Oryctolagus cuniculus: one gene and its partners. The protein of the gene in region 4 purifies or fractionates together with the protein of the main gene of each other region. This does not show direct contact. Links are inferred from orthologs where the notes say so. Each region holds a gene or a part of one and is shown on either strand. Other genes may lie near its edges. The genes, in order: HS2ST1, STX4, STX12 and SLC7A1.

The links.
Region 1: the proteins of SLC7A1 (region 4) and HS2ST1 purify together in Homo sapiens (co-immunoprecipitation; 3 studies listed by BioGRID and IntAct, counting the BioPlex papers as one, with this or other methods). This does not show direct contact. The link is inferred for Oryctolagus cuniculus from reciprocal best matches to the Homo sapiens genes SLC7A1 and HS2ST1.
Region 2: the proteins of SLC7A1 (region 4) and STX4 purify together in Homo sapiens (co-immunoprecipitation; 3 studies listed by BioGRID and IntAct, counting the BioPlex papers as one, with this or other methods). This does not show direct contact. The link is inferred for Oryctolagus cuniculus from reciprocal best matches to the Homo sapiens genes SLC7A1 and STX4.
Region 3: the proteins of SLC7A1 (region 4) and STX12 purify together in Homo sapiens (co-immunoprecipitation; 3 studies listed by BioGRID and IntAct, counting the BioPlex papers as one, with this or other methods). This does not show direct contact. The link is inferred for Oryctolagus cuniculus from reciprocal best matches to the Homo sapiens genes SLC7A1 and STX12.

What each region holds. Positions count from the first base shown.
Region 1 is NC_091438.1:84,223,203-84,227,847, forward strand, and holds the start of HS2ST1 (heparan sulfate 2-O-sulfotransferase 1), read right to left. Parts: upstream 3,026-4,645; 5' UTR 2,608-3,025; coding exon 2,484-2,607; intron 1-2,483. UniProt on the Homo sapiens protein: Catalyzes the transfer of a sulfo group from 3'-phospho-5'-adenylyl sulfate (PAPS) to the 2-OH position of iduronic acid (IdoA) or glucuronic acid (GlcA) within the heparan sulfate (HS) chain and participates in HS biosynthesis.
Region 2 is NC_091450.1:6,132,382-6,137,018, forward strand, and holds the start of STX4 (syntaxin-4), read right to left. Parts: upstream 2,809-4,637; 5' UTR 1,946-2,808; coding exon 1,916-1,945; intron 1,745-1,915; coding exon 1,643-1,744; intron 1,534-1,642; coding exon 1,434-1,533; intron 1,296-1,433; coding exon 1,221-1,295; intron 719-1,220; coding exon 648-718; intron 1-647. UniProt on the Homo sapiens protein: Plasma membrane t-SNARE that mediates docking of transport vesicles. Necessary for the translocation of SLC2A4 from intracellular vesicles to the plasma membrane.
Region 3 is NC_091438.1:143,809,165-143,812,728, forward strand, and holds the end of STX12 (syntaxin-12), read right to left. Parts: intron 2,682-3,564; coding exon 2,599-2,681; intron 1,083-2,598; coding exon 948-1,082; 3' UTR 729-947; downstream 1-728. UniProt on the Homo sapiens protein: SNARE promoting fusion of transport vesicles with target membranes. Together with SNARE STX6, promotes movement of vesicles from endosomes to the cell membrane, and may therefore function in the endocytic recycling pathway.
Region 4 is NC_091440.1:84,977,124-84,981,492, reverse strand, and holds the start of SLC7A1 (high affinity cationic amino acid transporter 1), read right to left. Parts: upstream 3,070-4,369; 5' UTR 2,931-3,069; intron 2,425-2,930; exon of another isoform or gene 2,402-2,424; intron 1-2,401. UniProt on the Homo sapiens protein: High-affinity, low capacity permease involved in the transport of the cationic amino acids (arginine, lysine and ornithine) in non-hepatic tissues.

The DNA of each region.
Region 1 (4,645 bases), on a different chromosome or scaffold from region 4:
CAGACATTACACTAAACCAATTTCTTTTTGTCTGAAATTGAATTTCCTTAGAATGATATTCATTCTTAGCAATAAAGGCAATTAAACATTGATATTACAATTTAAAAATTCTATTCAAATAGCTAAATCTTAGTGTAATGTCAATATGAAGTCTCAAGCAGCTGGGTGTAATTAAAGGAGCACTTGACTTGGAATCAAACATACCTGGATTCCAATGCTGGCTCTGCCAATAGTGATGTGGTCTTAGACAAGTTCTATAACCACTGAGCCTGTTCCTGCAACTGCAAAAATAGCTTTCTATAGTGTTCTAGAAAGATAAATAGGTGCATCATAGATGAAAAACACCTAGGATAGAGTCTGATTGTCAAAATAAGCCACCTGCGTTTCTTTCCTAAGAGGTCAGACTACCAACTGGCAATCTCTCTCTTATCATTCCTTGCCTTTTCCAAGACTTTAAAAAGAAAATCAAATGACTGCTAATAGAAACAAAGTTATACATTTTTACTTGCCATGCTTTTGCATTTCCAGATGAAAATACTTCCAGTTTCATACTTGAGGTATTAATTTCCTTGAATTAGTTTTGAGATTCATTTTAACATATATTTATTATTTCTAATGGAATTATTTATTCTAATGCACTCTATTTCTGATGGAATTTCCTTGTTTGCAAAAAATTTACAAGAAAGCATAGTATGTTCTACCTGTGGCTTTCTACAGCTTAAAATAACTGTAAAAAAAAAAAAAAGCTCAGGTTGTATCTATGGAAACCCCTTCAAGTGTTACAGAAAAAAACTTAGATGATTAAAATAAAAAATGTAAACAATGCTAACCCCACCATGATGTTCTGGAGAAATTAACCCCAGAGAATTCCAAATAGCAATACAATAAACAACAGGTACAAATTTTAATACAACTTCCAACTTCCTCTATGAGGAATCATTTTTTTCTGTAAAGCTGGATCATTAATGTGACCAGAACATGATTCTGAATGCTGATGAATGGATTCAAATGAAAAGAAAAAGTATACTGGACAACCTTTACTATTTAAGTGAACATTTTCCCATCTTACAAGGCACAGTAACAAAATTAGAGTAAATAAACTGTATATCTTTTCAAATTTTTGCCCCAGCATTAGTAAGGATTAGTATCTCTTTTGATCTTCCCTCAAACATAGCTGCACTTCAATCATATTTATTAGATACTCTTTGATACACTGCTCTTCAAAATTTCAAGACAATTGCAAAGTCTCTGGAAACAGCTAGCTATAGCTACTGCGTACAAAACTGCAATTATTCCCTAAAAATTAAACAGCACAGCAGCACTTAGTTGTTTCCCAAAGTTACTCTTTAGTCTAAATAATATCGCTGAAGGGATTTGTTTGCTTGTTTCTCAAAACGTATCTAGAAGGGTGCCGAGGTGCAAGTGCATGCAATCCCTTACCTTGCACTGTCTTTCCAGATTCAAATGACAGCCTCTTGAGCTGATTTAAGTGCCATGTGCATTTTTAACTCAAAATTGGTCACTGTCATTCTCTGACTATTCGCTCTCCACACCGAGCCCTTCCAAATGCCAGTTCCATACTAAATCGAAAGAATCTATTATCTATGCTTTTTTCTGTCCTTTCACAACTTCACACGTCAACTTTTTGCACTTCAGACTCCTTCGCCCATTAAAGCACTGTTAACTCTTCAAGGTACTTAAATGTTTACCGTGTAACCTTACTTTCCAATAGTAAACCTCACTACACAGTTCCCCTTCGGCATTCCCTCTTCTAAATTCACATCAACGCTGCCGCGAAGCAACATACGTGCACATCCCTGTTCTGGAGCCCACATGAACCAGTTCGGCGCCACTAAAACAGATCGCAGTCCCCGGACCCTCGTTCAGAACTGCCCTGAAGCTCTTCCCTCGCTAGCCTGCCCTACCTGGCCAGCCTACCTCGACCGCCTGTGGGGCGGTCCCTCGCTCCCCCGGGACCGGAGTGCAACTCACGGCAGCTTGTTTCCCTGACTGCCCCCTCCCCATCATTACCGGCGCCTCCTTCCATTGCTGCGCACCAATATTCCTGCACGACCACCGGTCCTCCCCCATCCTCCAAAAGAAGCTGTGCCCGAGTTCCCATACACGAAACTGGAATACCCCTCTCCGACACTGCCGAGGCGCTCTGCCCGAGCAAGGCTGAGCGTGGCCACCTCTTCCCTCTGAGTTGGGGCTTCTCTCGCCCTCTCTCCGGAATGCCTACTCGGGGGCAGCCCTGGGGCTCCGCGAAGCCCAGCCCTGCAACCTCTGCCCCGTGACCTCGCGAGTCCAGCACGCCACTCAAGCTCAAGTCACCCCATTCTAGGAGCTTGTGTTCTCTTGGAAACCTCTCCCAGCCCGCGAACCAGACCCCGGGCTGCACGAACGCCCACTTGCTCGGGCTGCAGTGCCCCCCGGCCCAGCCCCGTCCACAGCACTCAGCGCGGAGCGGCTCTGCTCCTCACCTAGCTTCGACAGGGACTCCTCCAGCTTCTGGATCTGGTTCTCCAAGAAGAGCATCGCCACCGCGAAGGCCACCACCGCCAGCAGCTGCAACTTGGGCGGCATCATAATCCTGAGGAGCCCCATGAAACCCGCTGCTCGGGATCAAGACATACCGCGGAGGGCGGGGAGCGGGGCCCCAGAGGCGAGGGAAACGCCGGGAGGAGCCCACCGAGCCGGCAGCCAGGCAAGGAGAGCGCGACAGCCAGAGCACCACCGCAGCGACCCCCCTTCTCGCCTCTCCGGTCCCCCCGCCCCCAGGCGCCAGCACTAGCGCCGCCGGTGCCCGCTTCTCGTCAGCCGACTCAACGGCCGCCCCCTCCAAAAGCCCGCGCAGCAAACCCTGCGCGAAGCGGCTGCCGGGCTCTCGCCTCCCTCCACAGCCTCAATCCCCGACCTCCGCGCCCGCCTGCCTGCCCGCCTCCCTCTCTTCCTTCCTTCCCTCCCTCCCTCCTTCGCTCGCGGCCGCGCGCTCCTACACCAGCGCTGCGGCTGCGGCTGCGCCGCCCTCGGCCCCGCCCCCGCCAAGTCCCCGCCCATCCCCCCTCCGCCACCACGCGCACGCATCCACGTACGCTGCTCGGCAACCAGAGGCCCCACCCCGTCCTCCTGCGCGGTTGTGCTTATTGGTCCGAAGAGTCCCTGCTCTTGGCCCTCGGTTCGATTTACGGTTGGCTTCCTCCGCCACAGGGCTCAATCAAGGCCGCATTCGATTGGGTAAACTTGGGGACGGAGGCAGGGCTTAAACTGGAGAAGGCGGGGCCTCCTGGCTGCCTGACGAAATGTCGTGAATGAAAGGATCCCGGGGAAGCACAGAAGTGGGGAGTTTAGAAAAGTGCCTGATTTGGGTAATCCAAAGCACCCGGCGACTGTCTTGATATTTGATCACCTTTAAGTTTTCATATACCCCGAGTTAACACGCGTCCCTTCAGAACAAGAGTTTCGGTGGCAACGGCCTTTAGCGGGCTGTCACGGATCAGGCTGTAGTGTGGACGCCCCAGCTGAGGGGTCCTCTGGGCAGCCCGAGACAGAGCCGAGAGGGTAACGATGGCGACTGGGGCTGGTGGAGGGCTGGGCCCGGCGTTTGGGCTACGGTTGCTGTTGGCCACCGTGCTTCAAGCGGTGAGTGTGGATCTCCTCCGTGGCTGCTCCGGGGCGGGTAGGAAGGATTGCAGAGAAGGAGGAGGAACATTCGAGCCTGTTTGGGATCCACGCTGGAAAAGGACGGAAGATGGGGTTTCCTCAGTGACTGCTGCTGCCGGAATGCGACGTGGCTTAATTCCTTGGTTGATGCTTGCTTGTCCTTCCTCGCTTTGATTTTGCTAGCGGCGTCTTCTGACTTCAGACCGTCTTGGGGGCTTCTCTTAACTCTAGCTGAAACAATCTGAATCACACTGCGGGGAGGGGAAGCAGTAAGGCTTAGGAAGAAGTGAAGACTTTTCAAGCAACAAAAACGCTAGGGAGTATCCTTATGATGGAGCTCCCCTGAGAGGAAAGCCCTCAAGTGTTCGCTCCTGGCTAACGATTTCTGTTGTTTTTTTTTTTTTTTAAACTCTCTCGAGCAGTAATCCCGTTTAAAATCTGGCAGTTTTATTTCGTTTTTTCCTATTACCAAAATAGATGAGTTCTTAATCTTGGAAAGGAGAAGTCCTGATTTTGATTTATTTTCATGCACGAAACAAGTAAATCTTGGTTAACTCCTCATAGTTTGCAATGTATGTTGCTATATGAAGGATAAAATTTTACTGGCGAGAGCTTTTACGTTTGTTAGCTCGTCTTAATTCGTCAAGTGTTCTCCATTAAGCCTGCTGAAAAGTTTTCTCCTGGGAGATCTGGTTTAACTGATGTATCCCAGATGTGGGTGGAGTTAAGGACTGTACATAGGCCTCTATAAACATCTCTGCTTTTCTTTCATCAAGGAATGTGAAACTATCCTGCCTTTTTACTTTTGTTACCCGGCCCCAACTTCTGTAATTAACATTCCAGTCCAGTACTCCATTTTTTAGACTTTTTGATGCTTTAGAAATTACTGGAACACCCCTGCCTGAACTCCTGTTAGGTCATTTGAGTTCATCACTACCACCATGGGAGACAAAAGGAGTAACATTTCAGGTTGCCCTCTCCT
Region 2 (4,637 bases), on a different chromosome or scaffold from region 4:
CCTGAGAGACACACCTGCTCTCCTGGCCAACAGCTGCCCCTCAACCATCTTCATTTTCCATCTGGGGTCTTTTTGAGCTCTGGGCCCAACCTACAACAACCCTGACCTCCGAGAACCCCCAAACCACTCCTCGCTGGGCGCCAGGGACAGCAGTCAGATGACCTGAAAACTCCTTACTAAGATGTCCCCGCCCAGGGCACTTCCTATTCCTGACTTCTCCAATTCTGCCTGCAGGCCGAGGATGGCCCAGTCACATAGGCAGGAAACTGACCAGGCACTTGTGACTTCTCCAACTCCTTCCCTGAAGAGCCATTAGCCACCAACGCCTGCATGAGTAATGTCTTTTGTCCCCTACTCAACTCAAGCTCCCATCTTGGTTCCCGAGGAAACAGCCAAGGCTGGGTCACACCCTGGGGGACAGCAGCTCCTCATGGAGAGGAGAAGAAAGCAGGGGGTGCAAGGGACTGGGAATTAGGACACCTGCGTTCTTGACCTTGAGTGAGAATCTTCTTCCACGCCTGTTTGCCCCTTTGAAGAAGGGTTGGGGCCTGTGGTCTCCAAGGGCCTTGCCTTCAACAGACATCTGTCGTCTCGCGATTGATCAAACACTTAGGAAAATGCCCTGGTTCTAGGAGAAGCAAACCCACCTGAGTCTTTCTCATCCTTGTGTTGACCGAGTTATAATTCTCATCAGCTTCTTCCTTCTGGGGCTCGATGGCTGCGGGAAGACACAAGGCAGGAAGGGAGGAGGTAGGGGCGTGTTGACTCGTGATTTCTGGAAACCGGGGACCAGGGCACAAGAACAGGGTCCCTCCCCCAGCCACACAATGAGGAGGGACCTGTCTCCACGTGATTTGTAAGGGAAACGCAGCTTCATTGTAAAATGACCCATGCTAAGCCTCTGACAGGAGAAAGTTTATTTCTCTTTGAATTCTATCAGTGAGCTCCCACAGGTATGCAGAACCCCATCTGCCTTTGCAAAGAACGCACGCTGGACAGGCACCAAGAACTACAGGACTCAACAGTTTCATCGTAAATAAAGGCACGGGCTGTGGAACACGGCGTGGAAGCCAACAGACAGATATATATTTTTTTAAACACAGGCCTGCTGTGTGACCTACATATATCACTTGCCTCTCTGGGCCACACACTCTCCACTTATCCCAGGATCAGATCAGTAGGATCAGAGGAAGAATCTGCCCGCCTTCCTAGGAGCTCACCCTTGAGCTGCGTGCGGATCTCCCTTCCCAACTGTTTGATCTCGTCGCGCAGGTTCTGCAGGTCCTGTTTCATGCCTGAACAAGAAAAGACCACAACTTCCTGGGGGAGCCCCTGCCTCAGCAAACCACCCCGGGGCCACCACCTGCGTGGAACTACAACCCCCACAATCCCTCGGGTAGCGCATGCGTCCTGCGACCCGGGGTTTCACTCACTCTCCTCGGGAAGGGGCGTGGCCAGGATGGTGACCTGCTGCTTCTCCAGCTCCCGGACTTTATTCTCCAGCTTGACGATAGTCTGCCGAATTGTCCGGACCTGGGGAGGGCGACCGAGAGGGGCTGAAATTTGGGGCACTCCAGCCCGCGCTGGCCCTCAGTCCGCCCGCCCCCTCGCACGTCCAGGCTGCAGACCCCAGCCCCCTTACCTTCTGGAAGAACTCATCGTCCGGGCTTCCCAGCCGGGCCGTGCCCGGGTGCACCACCAGCGCGACCCGCTCCTTGTCCTCCTCGTCCGAGCTGTCATCCCCCTGCCAGGGCCACAGTCACTGGCACCACTTCCTCGCGGCGGCTCTCGCTCCCGAACGATCCACAGGCTTCCGGGACTTTCCTTCCTGGCCCCCAACCACCCCTCCCTACCCTGGGAGTCCTGCATTCCAGCCCGCCCGTCCATCCCCGACCCTGCTGTCCCGACATCTCACCTGCCTCAGCTCGTGGGTCCTGTCTCGCATGGCGGCCCGAGCTCCCTCCTCCCGGCGCCGGAGCCCCGAGGGCCTCAAGGTTCTAAGTTTGGAATTCCCGTACCCCACTTACACTGCGACACTCCCCTGCCTCGCCCCGCGGGCCCCAACGCCCCCACGAGCCGCCGGAGGCTCAGCCCCATGCACAAGCCACAGTCAAGGGCAAGCAGCCGACCTCCGGGACCCCCAAAGTTCCACAGGTTGGAATTCCCTTCTCTTGCCCCCCTCCTGCTCCCTGAGCCTCAGCCCCGCCCCTCTGAGACAATTCCGGGCATGCGCACGAGGTGGCGTCTCTTCCTCGCCCGAGGGAAAGGCGGGGCTCGGAAGCGGCTCTGCCCCGAACGGAAGCGAAAGTGCCTGGACGTGAGAACCCGCCCCCTAGTCCGGAACCGTCGCCTCTTTGAACGGAAATCTGGCAGCCAAAAGCGGGTGGCAATGCGTCACGAGTACGTAATCGCAGAGACCCGCATCTCACATCACCCCATGAGCTCCCCCCCGCCCTGCTCCACGTCACGTGACCTGCCCGGCCGCGGAGACCGCAGAACGGGAGGCTTTGGCTGTCACGTGTCCCGGCTCTGTCAACGCCGACTCTGGGACACCCTTCTCCTCACGACGTCCCCGGCATCTGAGTTACGCCCCCACAGACCCCACGAGGAGGAGCGGGGGCGCTGACTACCCCCAGAGAGCTTTTGAGTCAGAGGGGTGGCGGGGACCCTTGCAGATTCCTCCTTTCTTGCTTTTGGCTCCAGGGGGCGTGGGCAGACTGACGGCTTAGGATTCGGGGCTGTCGGCATCGTGGGACCTTGAAAAATCAGAAAAAGAATCCGAGCCGAGTCTTCAGCGTCAGAGAATTGCAGGGTTTTGTCGGCAGGGAATCTGGGGGTGGGGTTGTGACCTCAGAGCAGAAATCTCTCCTGCACGCAGCCTGTGACCGGTGGGCGGCCGGCGCTGCAGCCCCGCTGTGCTCACCGCCTTCCGGGCACTGAGACCATCTCAGCGCGGCGCAGGCTGGGGAAAGTGTAGTGTGTGCAGCCGCCTGCTTCTCCGGCCCTTAAATACCCCAGCCCCTACCCACCTAAGGCAGGGCAAGACCGCCTTGTTTTTCATTGATCCCCCCAGCGCCTAGTTCAGTGCCTACCGCAAAATGAGCCCTGCATGAACATGGTAGAGTTTTAGGCTTTCGTGGATCTGAAGAGAAAGCCCCTGTCCCCTGGTCCTTAAGCTGCAGGCTGGCTCCCCTTGCCACTTCCCTAGCCGCCAAACGTTCCTTCATTTATACATAGTTTACTGGGTGCGTTCCATGAGCCAGGTGGATTCCTACAGACTGCAGATAGAGCAGGTCTAACTAGTACTAGTGGCATTTGCACTCCCCAAAGTCGTTCAGAGAGTCTCAGCCCGGCCAGGAGTGAGTAACCGGACCCCCGGAAGGTTCAAGTGGAGTCTTGCTTCCTGGAACTGAGTTGCTACGGACACACCACTGCAAGGCCACTTCTTGGTTCCCGGCCTTGATCTTCCATCTGTACATTGGGTGGCACTAGGGGGATGGGGAGATGATCTCTATGGGTAGTCCGTGCTCTCAAGTTCAGCGACAGTGAGGTGGAAAACTGCTCAGTGGTGTCTTAGTCTGTGTGAGGGGCTGTGGATGCTCCGCTCCCCTTGAGACCCCTGCTGGCCTGGGGCTGGGAATGAGGGTGTGAGAGAGCGGTGCTGCCCTGAGCAGCCCACAGAAGAAACGCAGTGGTGGGGGGCTTTTCCCGGGGTGAGGGGGCGAACACCCTGCCAGTGGGGTCCACTGGAGACCGTGGGGGGAAGCATCGCTCTGCTCTTGCATCCTGCAGTTGATGCCCCCTTGTCCCCGCCTCCCCCCAGACCCTGTCTCTGAGTGGTACAGTCCTAGAGCTTTCAGACATCTTTTGGCTCCCAAACCAGCACATGGGCTTGAATGAATGGTTCGTTGCTCCCGTCTGGGACTCAGCTTCCCCATTTGATAACTTGATCTGCTCATTTCTGCTTTGAGTAAGATAAGCATTGCACGTTATCAGGTGAGGTTAGAAAGGGTGTGGGTAAAGCAGCTGCCTGCAGTGCTGCCGTACCATATGGGTGCCAGTTCAAGACCTGGCTGCTCCACTTTCTATCCAGCTCTCTGCTATGGCCTGGGAAAGCAATAGAAGATGGCCCAAGGCCTTGGGCCCCTGCACCCGCGTGGGAGACCCAGAAGAAGCTCCTGGCTCCTGGCTTTGGATTGGTGCAGCTCTAGCCGTTGCAGCCAATTGGGGAGTGAACCAGCGGATGGAAGACCTCTCTCTCTCTGCCTCTCCTGCTCTGTCTGTGTAACTCTGACTTTCAAGTAAAATAAATAAATCTTAAAAAAAAAAGAAAGAAAGGAAAGGTGTGGAAAGGTCGAGGGATCCCCGGCCCCTTCTTGGGCTCTTTCAAATGTGGGTCTATCTCTCTCCAGGTCCCCTTCCCCATCTCTCTCTCTCCCTCTCTCTCTCTCTCTCTGCCTCTAGAAGCCTGCCCTAATCTGGAGTCACTGACGTCTCTGTTGATCAGACTTCTCAGAAAGATGATGCCCATGATTTCACTTGTGGTCTCTGCTCGGGATCACAAGGCTTTGAGATGGTGACTTCAGGTCACAGAAGGCTGGACGCCCCTTGGGAGGGACTGGCTCTGAGTCAGAGCT
Region 3 (3,564 bases), on a different chromosome or scaffold from region 4:
CCGAACAACTGATCAGCTCGAATAGATACTTTTCATTAAATCTTAAATCACATGTGCAATTTTTACTTTCCAGTTAAATATAGTGCCAAAATTTTGCAAAACAGAGAATAAGCTTCTTAGAAATTCAAATTAAAATATTAAATAATAAAAATTCCTGGCCTATTATACAGTTTCTGACATACTCCAATTATGCTGGGCGCCAGAAAGCAATTCATGTTAGTTGCTAGGAAAAAGGTAAATTTTGTATACACATAAAAAGACAATATTACGAGTCTGTAGTGTTGCCTGTCAAAAAAGAATACCTAGAATGGAATTTTCAATAAACTTTTGGGATACAGGGCAATCAGAATACAAGAGAAAGCAAAATCCACATAAATTAATTCCTAATTGGAGAAACCAATAAAATGTATACATATATTGATAAATACTGTCTCCATGGGTCACTAATTCCAAGGACTAGTTAGTAGTTAGTTTCTAACTAAATTGTTACAGGACGTTCTGGTATGTGCACTCCTCTTGTGATCAGTTTGTTCTGGCAAGACTCCAACCAGCACTTGCCCTTGAAAACAGTTCAGCAGGAGAAGGCTTTGAGGCAACCACACTTCATTTCCCATACACTACCCAGAAAACAATTATCAAGACTGCAATAATCACAGACAGGACAAGCACCAGGATGCACATCTTCTTGCGAGATTTTTTCTGGGGAAAGAAATATGTGAAGAAGACACTCATGAAACAAAAGTTTTAATATCTAAGACTCCAAGAGTGCTTCATAAATCTGCCTCCTTGTAATACAAAATTAACTCTATGCATGCACAAATAGGCAGAGAACATTCACAAAATCTCAACAGTCATCAGCACTAGCACTAGGCAGCAGTGTAAGTTTTAATTCTAGGTCCTTAAATACAGTTTTGCAAAGGAGACATACCTATTATGATAGAAATTATTTATAAAAATAATGCTATTGGGGCTGGAGCTGTGGCGTAGCGGATAAAGGTGCTGCCTGCAGTGCCAGCATCCCATATGGGCGCTGGTTCAAGTCCCGGCTGCTCCACTTCCAATCCAGCTCCCTGCAAATGCACCTGGAAAACCAGCAGAAATGGCCCAAATGTTTAGGCCCCTGCACCCACGTGGGAGACCTGGAAGAAACTCATGGCTCCTGGCTTCAGATCAGCCCAGCTCCGGCCATTATGGCCATTTAGGGAGTGAACCAGCGGACAGAAGACTCATTCATTCATTCTCTCTCTCTTTCTGCCTCTGCCTCTCTGTAACTCTACATTTCAAATAAATAAATCTTTAAAGGGGGAGGGGACAATGTTGTGGCATAGCAGGTAAAGCTGCCACCTGCTGACACTGGCATCCCATATGGGTGCTGGTTTGAGTCCCCACTGATCCACTTCCAATCCAGCCCCCTGCTAATTTGCCTGGGAAGGCAGCAGAAGATGGCCCAAGTACTTGGACCCCTGCACCCACATTGGGAGACTTGTAAGAGGCTTCTGGCTTTTGGCTTCAGTTTCAGCCATTTGGAGAGTGAACAAATGGATGAAGAGTTCTCTCTCTGTGTCTCTCCCTGACACTCTGTAACTCTGCCTTTCAAACAGATAAATCTTGAAAAAATAATAATATTTGTCATATGTATTTTAGTAAGTTTATACCTATTATAAAATTTAATATGCATTGGGAAAAAAAAGGCAAGCAGAAAAATAATCACCCATAGATCAAACTGTTGATGTTTTGATTGTAACTCCTGATCTTTTATCTATGCATACTGTCATTTGCATACATACTGTATGATGTTTGATTTTTTCTCACTTAATGTTTTATATAAGCATCTTTGTTAATACAATTTTTTCATAAATATAACTAAATCCTCACATCATATAATACCAAGTGGATGTATATAAAATTATTCCTTACCATTAGACACTAAAGACATCATGTAGTTTATAAAGGTAAAATTATTATTGAACACAATTTCTTTAAGAACAGGTAGTCTAAGAACATGGAAAATGACTAAAACACGACTTCCAAAAAGCCATGAAAACCAAACTGAGAGGAAAGGAGAAGGACCTCACGTTCACGGTATTTTCACACTGAGATAGAGACCCAGATAAATCATAAAACCAGTTTCAACTAGTAAGTAGAACTTTACTTTGCAGGAACAGTTCCAGTATGACTAAGCTCTACTTATTCAGATATAAATAACAGTTGAAGTGGTCTGTGTCCATCTTCTGTGCCAACAGTCAACATAAATCCTGTGAAACCCTGCTTTAACTGTACTTCTTCCTATCCTAATGGAAGCACATCTCAGCTGATTAGGATGTAAGATTAGCCTTACACCATTTATATTCTAGGTTTCATGCTAGCTTATGGGGTTATTAGTTTTGCAGCTCTGAGGTTTCTGTATATGTTTATTCATGGTCTGATGACATTTTGTAGATCTCCCTGCAAAGGAAATACTTGGGACTGGACCTGCAAGTATGACTGCTTGTCTCCAGCTTCAGCCTAAGCAAAAAGCTGGGCTGTGCTCAGAGTCAGTGCACTGTGGTGGCCCATGAAGTCTGCAGTACAGTGACTTTCTTTGGTTCTTGCTTTTACCTGATAGTAAGCAGCTCGCTGTAACTGATCAGTTGCTCTTTCAACGTGCACCTCTGAACTTTCCACATTGGCTTCTATGCTGTCTGCAAAGAGAAGGATGATGCATATTTTAGCACACCCAGATGTGTCAAGGCTAAAAACTGAACCTACTTCTGATGTTATGGGTTCCTGTTTCATTACTATCCCAGTTAAGAAATCAGAAGTTACTACCTGGATAAGAATATAGCCCTATTCTTAGAAATAAACACTGAAGTATTTAGGGACAAGGGACTCATCCATAAATGCTTCAGGAAAAATTATGTATATATGAATACATTCTCTCTGTCTCTGTCTTGCTCTCACTTGTACGTGCATATGCCCGTGTGCACGCAAACACACACACACACACAGAGTACATCAAAAAGCAAATGACGGCCGGCGCCGCGGCTCACTAGGCTGATCCTCCGCCTTGCGGCGCTGGCACACCGGGTTCTAGTTCCGGTCAGGGCACCGGATTCTGTCCCGGTTGCCCCTCTTCCAGGCCAGCTCTCTGCTGTGGCCAGGGAGTGCAGTGGAGGATGGCCCAAGTGCTTGGGCCCTGCACCCCATGGGAGACCAGGAGAAGCACCTGGCTCCTGCCTTCGGATCAGCACGGTGCGCTGGCCGCAGCGCACCACCCGCGGCGGCCATTGGAGGGTGAACCAACGGCAAAAGGAAGACCTTTCTCTCTGTCTCTCTCTCTCACTGTCCACTCTGCCTGTCAAAAAAAAAAAAAAAAGCAAATGACATAGAATGTTAACAAAAAGTAAACCTAAGTAAAGGTTAAAAGGAGTTCCTTGCAGTATTTTTATTTTTACAGCTTTTTATGAACTTGAAATTATTTCCATATAAAAAGCTTAAAAAAGAGTAATTGTGCAAGTTTCTGGAGATAAAAGTTGGGAAGCTAGTAGCTATTAAATAGAGATTTACCAAGAGGCTTTGGCAAGT
Region 4 (4,369 bases):
GTGACTTTCAAAGGCAGCCGCTGTAGCACAGTGCGATGCCAGCATGTCCCATCAGAGTACAGTCACAGCCCTGGCTACTCCGCACTTTCCACCCAGCTCCCTGCTGATGCGCCCGGGAGGCAGCAGATGATGGCCTCAGTAGCTAAGTCCCTGCCACTCACCTGGGAAGCCCAGAAGGAGCTCCTGGCTCCTGGCTTCAGTCTGGCCTTACCCCAACCGTTGAGGCTATTTAGGGAGTGAACCAGCAAATAGAGGATCTCTGTCACTCTGCCTTTCAAATAAATAAAATCTTAAGAAACAACAATAGTCCATCTTAAACCTAACATGCTCAACCTTCTCATCTCCTTAAGGTTGTGACTCCAGGGCCAGCACTGTGGCATAGTAGGCTAAGCCTCCGCCAGTCTCTATCCTTAATCCATTAACAGGGCCTGTGCTATGGCTGTGGCATAGCAGGCTAAGCCTTCACCTGCAGTGCCAGCATCCCATATGGATGCCAGTTCGTGTCTAGCTCTCTGCTGTGGCCCAGGAAGGCAGTGGAGGATGGCCCAAGTGCCTGGGCCTCTGTACCCACACGGGAGACCCGGAAGAAGCCCCTGGCTCCTGGCTTCGGATCGCTGCCAACTCCAGCCATTGGGGCCATCTGGGAAGTGAACCAGCAGATGGAAGACCTCTCCCTCTGTCTTTCCCTCTCTCTGTAACTCTACCTCTCTAATAAATAAATAAAATCTTAAAAAAAAAAAAAAAAAAAACTCCGGCTGTGCAGTGTGGAAATCTATTTCACCTCTCTTACCACTCACCTAAAGCCCCAGGCCAGTCCTGTGGGCGCACCTTTCACAGTCACCCAGAAGATGCCTCTGGGTAAGATGACACAGAGGCCAAGGCATCTCCCGGGTTAAAGGAAGTAAATTTTTCGCCAAGATTGTGAACACTCTCAGCACAAAAACACGACAAACGTTTAAAGCGATAGATAGCCTAGTTCCCCCGGCTGCAACATCACACAATGACATACGCACCCAAACATCACACCAGGACCCGACAATGTACGATTCGGACGTGTCAGTCAAAGATGAAACAAGTTTCTTTCCCTAACAAGAATGCATTGAGTCATGTCTCAAATTCCTCCTTTTAGGGTTAACAAGCAGCATCTCTAAATACACTGTCAATCAACAGAAAGCATTCATATAAGACATAACGCTGGGACCCCCGACTTAATGACCTAGTTCTGCTGGATTCAGGAAAGAGAAGTTACAGACCTGAACAATCAATAAGCATTTACTTGCTTCCTTCAGAGAATGAAATTTTGTACCAAACAGAATTAAACCTGTGTCTCAACTCAAACTCCCTGAGGTCAACAATCTTGCCTTTCAAGCCTTTTTTCCCCCTCCAGCAAATGGTCATATGCCTAAACAGAAGCCACGTGGCTCCGACTCAGGCAGCTGAGACCACCCCCTCTCCCTACTTACTGAGCCTTTTCCCGTTCGTTTACTCAAAGTTCCTTTGACATCCTTTGAATGTTAGTCAACAAGGAAGCTTTAAGAACGATTTTCTTCACTGTGGATCTTTCCAGTAAGTTTCTCTTCTTACTGGGGCTCAAGACAAGACCTTTTTTTTTTCCTGCCAGAAAGGCGGGTTCGCATAAGAATCGTGGTAATTTCCACTGAGAACAACTGAAAATACCAGGGCGAATACGTGCACCACAGTTTCCTATTATCTGACTGAAACATAAACGTTGAGATAAATCCCTAATAAATTATAACCCGAATTCAACATAGTGACGGCTCCCGGCTGCAGGCTGTCAGACACAGTCCCACCAGCCAGCTTTTAAGGGGCACATTCTGAAGGGGGTGGCGGGGGTACCCACCAGGGACGAAGATCGCAACCCCCCACCCCTACCCCACGCCCGAGACTCGGGTCTGGAACACAAGCCAGCACGTGACAGCACGGCCGTGGGTGTTGGGAAGTGTAGTCTGGTTCACATGTCTGGCTCGCCTACCCGCTCAAGACGCACGCAACTCCGATCTGGCTCCCACGCCTCCCCCCTACCCGGGGAACAGCGCGGCGAGCCGGCCAGCGGCGCGCGCGGGACGGCCGCCTTGACCTGCCCGTGCCCAGGAAGTTTTCTACTACGCAGAGAGGAACACGCGGAGAATAGGTTGTCCTAACGAAGCCGGAAGAACTTCCTCCTCCTGCGAACCATCTGGACGGCTTGGCCAGCCCAGAGTTTTAGGGCCAAGCCGGGTCACCAGGAAGCCCACCCAAAGGAGGACGTCCCCAAGAAACCCCTGGGGACCCAGACTACGGGTGCAGGCGGGCATTCTGGGGGTCTCATGGAATGGGCAGGCGCGCACCGCGACCACCGAGCAGGGCTGCCCAGCGCCGTTTCCCAGGCTAGCCAACGTACCTGCCGCGGGACCACCCTCCCGGGGCGCGGGCGGGGTCCCCGCGGCGGCCGATGACACATCCTCGGACCTCGTGGCGGGGCGGGGTGCTCCGCAACGCGCCATGTAAGGGAAGCTCTCCCGCGCTGCCAGCGGGCTCCGGACGCCTCCTGGACCAGCCCCCGTGCCCACCGCCGGCCCCTTGCCCACCCGGACCACCAGGTGCGTGGCCGGCGCGCGGGGTGGGCATCGCCGGCGCGCCCACGCTGACTCGGGCGGTGTTGCATCATACACCACGCCGTGCCTTTAGGGAACCGAAATGGACTCCGTGGAAGCCACGGCCGCATGGGCACCGCCCCGCGCGCACACCCCCGGGCCCGCCCTGCCCTCGCCCTCCCCGGAGGATGCCAGCGGCGCCCCGGAGCGGGGCTCTCGCCACTCCCGTGCCGCCGCCTGCCCGAGGCCCCACGCGGCCCCGCGGCCCCCTCCAACCCCCGCCAAGGTGACCCAGGTTGTGGAGCTGCCCCGGTGCCAGCGGGAGCGGGCACTCACCAAGCGGGCGGTGGGATGCGGGCAGGACAGCGGGCCGAAGGACGCACGCACGCTTGCACGCACCGACCCGGGGACCCTCGGCCGGAGAGGCGGTGCGGAGGCGCGGGAGCGACGTGGAGCTGCGGTGAGCGCGTGCCTGCCGGCCGCGTGCCGCGCCGCCCGGCTGCTGACTGGCCGCTCGCACCTGCCCGCGCTGACTGAATGGGGCGCCGAGGGCGGGCGGGATCCGGCGCCGGTTTCATCAGCCGCTCTCGCCGCCCGCCCCCCAGCCCGCCCGGCGGCCCTGCCCGTGCCTCGCGTCACAGCCGGGCACCAATGGCAGCGCGGCGCGGCGGCGGCCGCTGGCCCTGAGGCGGCGGCAGAGGCGGGCGCGCCCGTGTGGGCGGGGCGGCGGCGTCTTCGCGCGCGCTGCGGCGGGGACCCGGGGTTCCCCCGGCCGGCAGGCGGGCGGCGCCTCCGGACGCTCCCGCGGCTGCCTTGCGGGCCTGGCCGCCTGTCCGCCAATCGGAGCCCGCGGCGCGACAGCATCCTTGGGTTCCCTGCGGGCCCCGCCGCGCGCGGGCCGGGACTCAGGGCAGCAGGCCGGGCCGCGCCAGCCCTGGCTTAGCGAGCTGCAGTCAGCAGACGCCGCTGGTCTTCCTTATCCGAAATAAAAAGATCTGGGATGCACTATGAGGGTTTTAGAAAGTTAGTTACTGGGGCCGGCGCTGTGATGTAGCGGGTGAAGCCCCTGCCTGTGGTGCTGGCATCCCATATGGACGCGGGTTCGAGTCCCGGCTTCCCATCCAGCTCTCTGCTATGGCCTGGGAAAGCAGCAGATGGCCCAAGCGCTTGAGCCCCTGCACCCATGTGCAAGACCCAGAAGAAGCTCCTGGTTCCTGGCTTCAGCCTGGCTCAGTCCTAGCAGTTGTGGCCATTTGGGGAGTGAACCAGCGGATGGAAGCTTTATCTATCTATGTCTGTATGTCTGTCTGTCTCTCTTTCAAATAAGTATTTTTAAAAAATTTTTTTGAAGTTACTATAGATTTTCATTTCTCTCTCATGGTATTATTTTATTATCGTCCCCTTGCCCATGCTAGAACCTTATCTCCCTGCTGTCGGTGAAGGCCTAATCCACCTGTTGCCAGGCACCTGCACAGCAGGCTGGTGGGCTAATGGCCTCAGCTGCCTTCCCAGTCACTCTCCCAGTGTTGCCAAGAGCGGTGGTCCTGAATCCCACAGTGTTGGTGCCATGAGCTCCCGTGCAGTTGTCTGTCTTTGCTCCAGAAACCAAGAAACACAACCTGTGAAGATCCAGTAATCTGTGACATTGAGTAAGTGGTAGATGACCACCGCGCTCCCCCATATTTCTAAGGAAACAGAAAGGACAAGGGCGGATGGTATCTGCCTGCTTTAAAGCCTTTCCACACCTCCCACCCGCCCCAGCCACCACCAGCACC